Linked DNA regions of Caenorhabditis elegans. The protein of the gene in region 1 purifies or fractionates together with the protein of each later gene. This does not show direct contact. Each region holds a gene or a part of one and is shown in the gene's direction. Other genes may lie near its edges. The genes, in order: ugt-1 and spt-5.

Region 1 (4,767 bases):
TTCTCTGTTGGCGTGGATGCCTTCGTATTGTAATTAGAAAACTCGTCAGTTTTTCCTCTTTGTGGGCATTTGCAGTATCCAGAATCCGGCCCAGGACGACCACTGCCACCAGGCTGAAAAATATCAATTATAGTTTAATAATATTTTTTTGAAAAATATTTTGACTCACCCTTCCAGGATGCCCATCGACTCCAGGTCCACCCGGTTGACCTGCTTTTCCTTGCGGCCCAGAAGACCCAGGCTCCCCAGACATGGGATAACCGCCATCTGGACCAGGCGGTCCCCCTCTCCCGACTCTTCCAGGGGATCCGGCAGGTCCTGGTGATCCATATGATCTGGTTCCTGATCTGCCTGGTTGCCCAGTTGCTCCATCATGCCCATTAGCTCCGCCCGATCCATTGTCTCCTGGCATTCCTGGATATCCTGGAAGACCTCTCCCTCCAGGAATTCCATCCATTCCAGTAACACCCACATCTCCAGGATGTCCCATTAATCCTGGCCTTCCAGGTTGTCCTTGTGGTCCCATTGGACATTGAATACACCCATTATATGGTAGCTTCATTGATAGCAATACGCCGACTCCTCCGGGGCTTCCAGGTTGTCCAGCTGAGCCGTCTTCACCAGGGTGGCCAGGATGACCAGGACGTCCCGGGGGTCCTTCCGGACAGATCAATGGCACTGAAAACGCTCATTTAAATGCAAAAGATCGTGTCCCGTAAAAATTTTCTGTATAATTCCGTGATTATTTTCACTCGGGAATCGCTCGCCCACTATGGGGGAGTCTACGCAAGGACAACGCAAGGACAAGGACAACATTCTAATGGAATGGAAACGATTGCCCGACTGCACCAATTCTAGTTCAAGTGAACAATGATAACTTTTGTATTCTGTATTCCTTCACGTCTCCCAGCGAGCGTAATAAATTATTATTATTATTATAAAAGGAGAGTTTTGATCAGATAAATTTATTATCGTTGAATATCCACTTTCTCTGTTTCTCGTTTCATTCTCTAAACGACGTATGGATAATACATATGATGAAGGTCTAAAAACTTCAAAGAAATGTCTCCTAGTTTTGCAAATTTCCACCGAAAAAAAATTTGGTCGGTTCTCGGACCATTTATGTATTGTATTTTATTTGGCTTATGTTTTACTCAGGAAAGTAAATAACTTTTGCTAAATGTACATAAAATCAGCAATGTTTTCAAAAATGTTTTGAGGTAATCCGGCTTCTATGTGATATATTAATTCAATCCTAACTGATAAGATAATTATAAATTTAAAACTTACTGCTACCTCCAACTTCTGGAACAGCATAAGAATTGGTTGGTGGAATGGTAACATATCTTGGCTGCCCATATCCATGACGTGGTGGTAATTTGATTCTATAGACTGCCCGTTTTTCTCTAATTGATTCAGTTATCAAATTCCACGCATCATCGGAATATTTCTACAAAACATTGAATTAAAAACTTGAAAAATTAATTATGGACCAACTTCAAATGTTTTCAGATCTTCAAGGGAAGTAATTTCAAAGTTTTCAATTTCATTAAAAACCGAAAAAATTGAAGCGAGAATCGTAAGAACTGCAAAAACAATGAGCAGAATAGTAGCGAATAGAAAATTTGTGTGCTTCATTTTTGTTTTCAGTTTCAGACAGGTGTCTATATTTTATACTTTTCAACACAATAGATATTAATTATTTTAGAGAGAAAAAAACAGGAAACAGCTACATAGTGTGAAGTGAAAATAGAAATATGAAAAATGAAATAACAATGACTTTGACGAATTTATCCCTCTTACCCTAAATTTTCAATAAAATCAAAATACAACAAAAGCTCCAAACTCTAAAATTACTAAATTGTATTTTTGTACCAAAACTAGCTTCCCGACATTGATAAGTAACGCACTGGCACAAACTCTAATTTTTTAGTGAACACAAAAACAGTAATCTGCAAAACTTTCTTTCTCGTATTCTCTGTTTCTCTACATACCGTACTTAATATTTCACTATCTTATCTCTCTGTGTCTCTTGCCGACCAAAAAACTAATGGTGGATCGCTATATAAAGAAATGTTAGGTAAGGAGTTGAATGTCAGTTATTTCTGTAAAAACTAGAAGTTTCTAAAATGAAAATCTTATTTCTACTTCTTACAAGCTTAACTTTTTGTTATTCTCATAACTTTCTCGTAGTTTCTCCAGTTTTTGGATACAGTCACATGAAATTTATGAATAAAGTAGCGGATACTTTGGCCAACGGAGATCATAATGTGGTAAGTTTTAAAAATTTTGATCGAGTTATTTGCTTGCTTCTTCAACCTTTTTGTTATTTCTTATTCAGACAATTCTTCAAACATACAATTACGAACATTTTGGTAAAATCCGTATGGCAAAGAATACAAATGTCGAGGTATGGAGTAAAGTATTAATTTATTGAAAAAAAACTTTTCTAGATCCTAGACTATCATCTCGACGAAAGCAAAGCGGTCAGCAATGAAAACTCTGCAAGTGCCTTCAAATACATGTGGAATACCGAAATAATTAATAATCCAATTACTGGAGCTATAGCAGTTGGTTTATGGATACTTATTCCGAAATACCATAGTTTTATTTCAGACTTCAACAGTTCTATATGGCGAAATGAAGACAATGTGTGAAAGTAGATTTAAACCAGAAAATCTAGATAATAATGTTTTATTACAGAGGTTCTTCTTGACAAAAAACTACACAAATGGATTCTCTCGAAAAACTTTGATGGATTTATTTCCGAGCCATTCGATTTTTGTGGTCTTTATCTTGGAGATCACTTGAAGCTTAACATAATTCCAATGCATTCTTCAACTAAAAGTCTTCCATCTGTTTACGCAATTGGGGAACCATCATTGCTTAATTTTTTACCATGTGAGTTTTGTTTATTTTTGAGCAAATTAAAGGTGACAGACGATTCTTATCAACTGATCTTATGATTTTCTATAAAAAATATTTATAATTTCAAGCCATGAGGACAAAGTTCGGAACGGAGCAAACTGTTTTTGATCGAATCGGTGACATCATTGCTCTTCCATGTCTCGAACTCGCATTCTCGAAGCTTTTCGAAAAACAATACAAACAAGCATCTCAACTTTTGAATGGGGATGTTCGACACTGGAAGGAAATTCTTCAGACTGCCACGTTTTATTTTTCGAATGCCAATGATTTTATTGCATTTCCAACACCATCACTTCCAAAACATGTACACATTGGAGGATTCACAATTGATCCACCAAAAAATCTGAAATTAGAAGAGGAATATAACAAAATTCTGAGTCTTCGAAAATCAACAGTCCTTATTTCATTTGGAACCGTAATTCAATCAGCGGATATGCCAGAAAGTTTTAAGTGATTATTTTAAATTTGGAATTAAAACAACTATTTCAATTTCAGAGATGGGATTATCAAAATGTTCCATCTTCTACCAGATACCACTTTCATCTGGAAGTATGAAGTAGAAGATCAACAATTCATTGAAAGGCTCCCGAATAATGCGATTCTGAAGAAATGGGTTCCTCAGCCAGCTCTGCTTGGTATTTTATCTCACTTTTCTTTTGTACTTATTTCAATTTTCAGCTGATCCTCGACTGAAACTCTTCGTAACTCATGGTGGTCTCGGCAGTACTTTAGAAGTTGCATACTCTGGAAAGCCTGCCCTAATGATTCCAGTGTTCGGAGATCAATTATTGAATGCAAAAATGTTGAGTAGACATGGTGGTGCTACTGTTTTTGATAAATATGATTTGGAAGATGCCGAAAAATTGACATCTGCAATTAAAGAGATTATCGGAAATGAAGAATTCAACAAAAAATCACATCATATTGCTGATCTTCTAAGAAATCAACCAATTGATCCAAAAGCAAATCTTCTGAAACACGTGGAGTTCAGTGCAAAGTAAGATAAACAAAATTAGGATAGCAAAGATTTTATAAAGTTTCAGATTTGGAAGAGTTGATGCTTTGGAACCATACAATGTTCACTACAACTTTGTTCAGTACTACATGTTAGATGCTTTTGCCATTATTTTTTCAATTTTAATCATTATCTTTTATTTAGCACATTTACTTTTCAAATTTGTTTACAAACACGTTTTCAAGACAAAATCAAAGAAAGAGTAGTTTTAAAAAGTTTTATTTGCTATCAATTTGTATCTCTTGTTGATTTAATTCATATTTGAGCCTTAATAAACTGTCTAATCTGCTTTTATCAACATAAAAAATGTACACCTAAAAGGTGCAAATCCATAAAGCAAAAAATAAATGGCGGAATCTAGACGATATCTTTTTCCCTGCTTTTGAGATCCCTGTATTTGTGTCTACTGGCAAAGCATTTTCAACATTCTTCTCGTATTTTATCACCTCACAAGTTGTAAGAAAAAACGTACCGTACATTCTCAATTAGTATATAAGCCAACTACTCCACTTTGAAAATTTATATCTCGGTTCATTCGGATGATATAAAATAAATAATTATCAACGGCAAATTTTTAAAAAATAGAACTGACAAATATTTTGCTAATTGCCTAATTTTTAATAGAAGAAACGAAAACTAAAATATAAGCTTTCAGAGTTGAACAAATGGGTGCAATTTCAATGGATAATTTAACAGTAAATCAGAAAACGGTTTAACAGTAAATCAAAAAACAGTTTAACAGTAAATCAAAAAACAAAAAAAAATTATTGTACAATGCCATCAGACTTTTCTAAACTCCATAGTTTTCCAAGTCCGAATACTAA
Region 2 (6,658 bases), on another chromosome or scaffold:
AATTATGTCGCTGATGTAGAAGGTCTTGTTATCAAAGTCAACACGGAAACTGGTCAAATCATCGAGTCGTATCATGATCAAACAGGACGAGTTGAAGCCGTCTCAATTGCGATTGACGATGGAAAAGGAAGAATGCTTCTGGGAAGTGATGTTAACTATTATATTGCTCGAGCTAAACTTTGAATATTTAATTTTTATTTCTTACGATCTCTATTGATATGTTGAAAATTATATGAAAAAAATTCAAAATACAATTTATTCGAACCCGTTTAACTGGCTATACTCGTATTCAAGATCTTTCCTGGCATATCCATGAACTGCAATTACACCATCATCCCATTCTTTTTGAGACACTCGTCGACACCAGAAGATGAAGTTCTCATTATGAGTTGCTGCGACATTCACTGTTTTGGCGAGAATACCCGTAAAGACATCATCGAATGGAAACATTTTCAGTTTTCTAATTGAATTTCTGAATCGCGCAATGGTTTCGGAAGTGAGGAAGACAGCGCCAGCGGAGACGTATGGAGGATATCGTGAAAATGGATACTCATTCAGCGAAATCTGTAACTTGTAATAATTTGGAAATAGGTTTTTTTTTTACTTGAAGCACTTACGCTGTGTTTGTGGATCTTAAGCCTGAATGGTGACGTGTCAAATACGAAGCCTTCGTAAACAAGTTCCTCTTTTTGTTTAGTTTTTGCGAATTTTACAAGATTTGGGATATGTACCAAATAATCGTCATCTACCAGAAAGGTAAAGTCTGGAGAAGAGCATTGATTTGGATTCGCAGCGTAGTCAATGGCGCCAAACAACTGAAATTAGGTTTTTATTGAGAAAAGTGTTCAAGAAAACAAACTTTTAAGGTATTGTTCCGATATGAATCTATGTCTGATATTGCAAGAATATCCTTATACTTCTCCGATTCTACATCAATTCTTCTCATTATCTCCATATTTTCCACTCTTCCCACAATGAAGATTGGCATAACTTCGACTCCATCAATCATTCGAAACACTCCCCACGTCTTTCTTACTGACTCTCGCATCTGAATATTGTTTTTTTTAAATAGAAATTTGATTTTCTGCAAATACTAACCGGTCCATTTTTCGCACTTGACTTGATTATAATAATAATAATCTTTTGTCCATTGCCAGAAAATTTGCACTGTGGATATTTTGTAAACTTGCTTCGCAATTGTAAATTACGCGTTTCCAGTGGCCAACTGAAGTCACCAAAACTCGTCTGAAAAATATAATCATTATGTTTAAATAATTTTTTCTGGCGTATAAAGTACCTCTCTAAACTTATCCACAACTCCAAGTACCCATAGAAGAAAAATCGTAATCGTGAAAATTAAAAGCTTTTGAAACGAAGAAAGTTCATGATATTTTCTGAAATGAAATTAAATATTTATGCGAAATTGAAGAGCAAAGCAATACTTCTTAAAGCTTTGAGATTTTTCAAGCGTATCCACAGAGAATTTCCTACCTTTTCAAAATCCGCACGCATAAAAACATTAAAATGTTAAATAAATATATATTTAATGCGCGGCAAGTTGTGGGTTTTGGACGTGAACACCAGATTGCGTACCGGGCATCGGAACCGACGACAATTTATTTCTTCTTCATTTTCTTCTTCTTTTTTGCGCTTAATTTCTTCTAATCATTTATACCTATAAAGTTAATCATTTTTTCAATTGATTGATTTACTTCTTGCCTAATTTTCTGAATTTTTAAGCGTTGTCCTAAATCACACGCGTTCCTCCTCATTTCTCTGCCCCAAGTTATTTGAAATTTACTTAAATGTTTCAGTTAGCAATGTCCTCTGACGAAAGTGATGCAGCCTCAAACAAAGAAGAAGACACGGTTAGTTATCGATTTTTCACTCTATGATTTGAGATTCGATCGATTTCGCCGAAAATAACAAATAAGCTTTCATGGAAAATTCACAAATTATGCGACTTTACTTATTTATCGATTTTTATCCTCTTACAGACTTTGAGCGATGATGATGGCTCAGATGTTGAAATCAAAAATTCAAAGAAGGACAGAAAGCGGAAACTTGCTTCAGAGAGTGAGGTGAGTGAAAACAATTAATTTTAAAGTTACAATCCTGTCGGTTTTTCAGAAAAGTGGCTCGGACGATGATGATGACGACGATGACGATGAAGATGAAAACGTGACCAGCAAGAAATCTAAAAAGCAGAAACGGAAGAATAAGGCTCCTTCTGGACGAGATTTTCTTGCTTGGGATGTTGAAGTCGACGACGAAGACGAAGACGACGACAATGATTACGATGACGAAGACGATCCAAGCATGAATGCAATGAACGAGCGAGAGGAAGCTGAGCGTGCGATGAAAGAAATGGAATTGAGTCAACGGAATAGAGATCGGTACAAGTTCCAAAACATGACGGAAGACGAAGTCCAGAAATACTTTGAGAACAAGTACAAGGGTGACAAAAACGACAGTCAATATGATGACGAAGATTCAGCTATGGATGATATTTCAAAAAATTCTCATCTTCCATCCACGAAGGATCCTAACCTGTGGATTGTCAAATGTCGCATGGGAGAGGAAAAACTCGTAGCGATGCATCTGATGCGTAAATGTCTTGCGGTTGAGCACACAAACGAGGTAATTGATAAATGTCCCGTAATAATGATTGCATTTAATCAATTTATAGCCATTCCAAATCAAATCAGTTGTCGTCAAGGAAGGACTCAAAGGAATGATCTATATCGAGGCGTTCAAACAATCTCACGTCATGTCTGCAATTGAAGGATTTTCAGCTCTCAATCAATTCACTATAACCATGGTTCCCATCAAAGATATGGTAGATGTATTGAGAGTTGTCAAAGACATTCCACAGTTGAAACTCGGATCATATGTTCGTTTGAAAAGAACAATGTACAAAGATGATCTGGCTGTCGTTGATCTTGTGGATATCGCTCAGAACCGTGTCAACCTGAAATTGATTCCCCGTGTCGATTATCAGAAGCGGCGCGGAGCAATGAGAACTGATGCTGATAAAAACTATAAGCTGAAAAGACGCCCAATGCCCAAGTTATTTGATCAGGATACCATCAAAGAAGTTGGAGGAGAAATTGTGACGGACGGAGACTTCTTAGTATTTGAAGGAAATCATTTCCGGCGAGGATTCCTCTACAAGTACTTCCCCATAAACGCAATTCAAGCTGATGGTGTTAAACCAACTCTTGGAGAACTCGAAAAGTTCCAAGAATCTAGCGATGATCTCAAGAGAGAATGTAAGTTTTTATTCCTTTATTCTTTTTTAAAAATACTTTTTTTCAGTGGAAACGGCTTCTCTCAAAGACACAGAAAATCCATTTGTTCCTGGAGATATCGTCGAAGTGAAAGCTGGAGAGTTGGTGAATCTTCGGGGTAAAGTGATGACGGTCGATGGGACGAAGGTTGTGATGATGCCAGATCAAGAAGATTTGAAAGAAGCAATCACTTTGAACGCTCATGAGCTCAGGAAATACTTCAAGGAAGGAGATCATGCAAAGGTTATTAGTGGACGATACGAAGGACATACTGGATTAATTGTCCGAGTAAAAGATAGCACAGCCATAGTTTTGTCTGATCTTGGAATGGAAGAATTGAAAGTTCGTGTACGAGATTTGCAACTTTGTGCTGATGTGACAACTGGAGTGGACTCACTGGGACAGTTCCAATATCATGATCTTGTACAGCTCGACCATACAGGAAATGTTGGAGTAATTGTTCGATTGGAGAAGGAACATTTGGAAGTTCTCAACATGCACGGAGTTGTGAATCGTATAAAGCCACAAGCTATTATAGCGAAAAAAGACGTTCGATTTGCGAAAGTTCTCGACAGTCAAAACAATTCCATCGAGGCTAAAGATCTGGTAAAAGTAATTGGAGGACCAAACGCAAAGGAGCGGGAAACCGATGAGGATCCAGTTGGAGAAGTTCTCTATGCGTTCCGTGGAACTGTCTTCGTTTATTCTCGCAAAGTGACTAAAAATGGAGGAGTCTTGGTTTGCAAACCAAAACAACTGATTTTACAAGGAGCTAAGAAAACAACCAGTACACCGATGGTTTCTCGAATGGCTTCACCGAATCCTATGGCATCACCAAGACATTCTTCTGGAGGAATGACTCCTCGTTCTCCACAAGATGGTATGTCAAGTCGTGGAAGCAGTGGTGGACAAACTCCGAGACAAGGTGGAGGAGGAGGACGTGGTGGTCATTTTGGAACTGCAAATCAACAAAAAGTTCGTCGTGATCTTACCCTCATTGGAAAAAATGTTCGAATCATCAAAGGTCCGATGAAGGGCCACTTTGGAATTGTTCGAGATGCCACAGAAGACACAGTTCGTGTCGAATTGCATACACAATGCAGAACGATTTCTGTCGATCGTGCTCGTGTGATGGTTGTCGGAGACACTGGAATAACAGCTGGAAGTGGAGGTGGAAGCTCGTTCTACAGTTCTTCGAAGACACCGATGCGCGACTCTGGCAAAACTCCAATGTATGGATCGAAGACTCCGATGTATGGAGCACAAACACCGATGTATGGCTCGATGACTCCAGCTTATGATGGAGGAAGAACACCGGCGTATGGAGAAGGTGGACGTACCCCTGCATATGGAAGCAAAACTCCAGCATATGGAGATCTTGATGAACATTCATCATCACGTACTCCAGCCTATGGAAATGACAGTTCAAGAACTCCTGCTTACGGTAGTGCTGATGGTGCACGAACTCCTGCCTATGGAAGTACGGAAGGTGGACGGACTCCAGCATACGGATCAATGGACAACAGTAGAACTCCTGCATATGATGATTCTGGAAGAACGCCTGGCTATGAAAGTATGCCATCGAGAACTCCGAACTATGATTCAAGCAGTAAGACTCCAGCCTATCCAGAATCCGAACATTCCGCCAGAACTCCAGCATACAATAATGATTATGATATTCGTGAGTTGAACCATTACATATCTTTGCAATTTTTAATTTTTAATTGTTTAGCGTTGAGTCCGGCATACGAGCCCGATGCACCTGAAGCGTATGACAATGCTCCAGCAAGAACTCCAGCATTCGTGTCCCGTACTCCAGGATACGACACATATGAGAACAGCAGCCCGACATACGAACCAGATGCAGCTACAAAAGTTGAGGAAGACATCGGAGACACTTCGTCTCCAACTTATGATTCTCCTCCACACTCGTACGTTGTGCCAACTCCAGGTGCAATGCTCAATCCAGCAACTCCGGGAGCCTATCACGTTGATACACCTGGATTCGCTGCTCCAATGACGCCAGGAAGTGGAGGAGCATACGATCAATATGTTGCGCCTTCTCCATTCGCTGGCTACGACAGTAACAACTACAACAATGCCGATGGAGCTATTGAGCAAATTCGTAAGTTGCTCAAGATTTTATTTGAATTATAGTGAAGCTAATTTCTTATTTTTAGCGGACCACTTCCTGGCTCAAGGTGTGTGGATTGTGCAGAATCTGTGTGTGCAAATCAAGGACCACGAAGGGCGATTCAACGGACGTGAGGCGATCATTAAAGATGTTACCGATGGAAAAGTGGATGTCTACATGCCAGATCACAAGTGCAACTTGGAAGTTGATTTCGATCAGCTAACTCCAATGAAACCGCAACCAGGAGATGATGTAAGAAAATATTAAATTGAAAATGCTAAATGAAATGTTAACTTTAAGGCTCGAGTGATTTTCGGACAAGATGCAGGTCACAGTGGACAACTTGTTTCCATGGATGGATTCGAAGCAGTTATCCGATCACAGGAAGACATGTCAGACATGCGAGTCATCAACATTGGATTGTGCTGCAAAATGCATAGCGAAACTTGAAAAGTTGTTCACTTTACTATTTATTCTCCAATTTTTCTTCGCTTTTTTCTGTTCAAATGTTATTCGACACTCGACGAGTTTCACTTCGTTGTGTCTATTTTTTGGTGTCACCCTTTGAAAATCGTTCATTTATTTATTTATTATACACTGTTTTATTTGAATTAAACATTTCTTAAAATGATTGCTGCTTTTCTTTTTCAAAAACAAATACACTTGTTGTACAACCAAGAGATATAATGAAAAGTTTAATTTCAGAGAACATATTTTTTGTGAGATCAAGAATGAAGAGGGTAGTAAAGAGATTCAGGCTGAAGGATTATAATCAGTTAGTTCGAAATTTTCAACTAGTTTGTTCACTCTTCGCACAATATCTCGTCCGTCTCGATTGAAAATATCATGGAATTGATTATCATCGTCCTCTGGCATATCACCACGAAGTCTACATAGAAATTCTGGTTTTCGAGGCAAAGTGTAGAGAGCCGCAGCGACAGCAGTTCTGATTGGCCAAGAATGAAGTTGAGAAAGATGTTTGTCATAAGAAGAACGAGCGATTGTCGATACATTTTCATCATTCGACGTGAACACTCCATCCAGCAAATCGATGACGAATTCAAGAGCTCTGAAATGATGAACTCATTGATTTTCTCTTCTACGAATCCACGAATACCTGTTAAGAACCATCAAATGTCCAGTGCCGCTTCTATTTGGTTTCTGATTTCGAATAGTTCCATTCTCCGACTCCTTCGTTGCCATTCCGATGATAGTTCTGAAAATCAGGAATTGA

Evidence for each region.
Region 2: the proteins of ugt-1 (region 1) and spt-5 fractionate together in Caenorhabditis elegans (co-fractionation; one large-scale study listed by BioGRID). This does not show direct contact.

Annotation. Positions count from the first base shown.
Region 1 is NC_003283.11:10,393,586-10,398,352, forward strand, and holds ugt-1 (glucuronosyltransferase), read left to right. Parts: upstream 1-2,077; 5' UTR 2,078-2,129; coding exon 2,130-2,273; intron 2,274-2,341; coding exon 2,342-2,410; intron 2,411-2,453; coding exon 2,454-2,570; intron 2,571-2,616; coding exon 2,617-2,659; intron 2,660-2,703; coding exon 2,704-2,901; intron 2,902-2,996; coding exon 2,997-3,378; intron 3,379-3,423; coding exon 3,424-3,563; intron 3,564-3,606; coding exon 3,607-3,925; intron 3,926-3,971; coding exon 3,972-4,149; 3' UTR 4,150-4,235; downstream 4,236-4,767. Other genes in the region: col-151 (Nematode cuticle collagen N-terminal domain-containing protein), read right to left, coding at 1-113, 170-678, 1,291-1,450, 1,498-1,638.
Region 2 is NC_003282.8:12,049,677-12,056,334, forward strand, and holds spt-5 (Transcription elongation factor SPT5), read left to right. Parts: upstream 1-1,814; 5' UTR 1,815-1,820; coding exon 1,821-1,868; intron 1,869-1,997; coding exon 1,998-2,081; intron 2,082-2,130; coding exon 2,131-2,640; intron 2,641-2,689; coding exon 2,690-3,272; intron 3,273-3,318; coding exon 3,319-4,971; intron 4,972-5,022; coding exon 5,023-5,415; intron 5,416-5,470; coding exon 5,471-5,676; intron 5,677-5,724; coding exon 5,725-5,874; 3' UTR 5,875-6,070; downstream 6,071-6,658. Other genes in the region: T12G3.4 (Strictosidine synthase conserved region domain-containing protein), read left to right, coding at 1-183; Beta-1,3-galactosyltransferase bre-5, read right to left, coding at 256-564, 618-815, 860-1,048, 1,099-1,245, 1,298-1,394, 1,492-1,520; K08E4.2 (Glycolipid transfer protein domain-containing protein), read right to left, coding at 6,178-6,493, 6,542-6,640.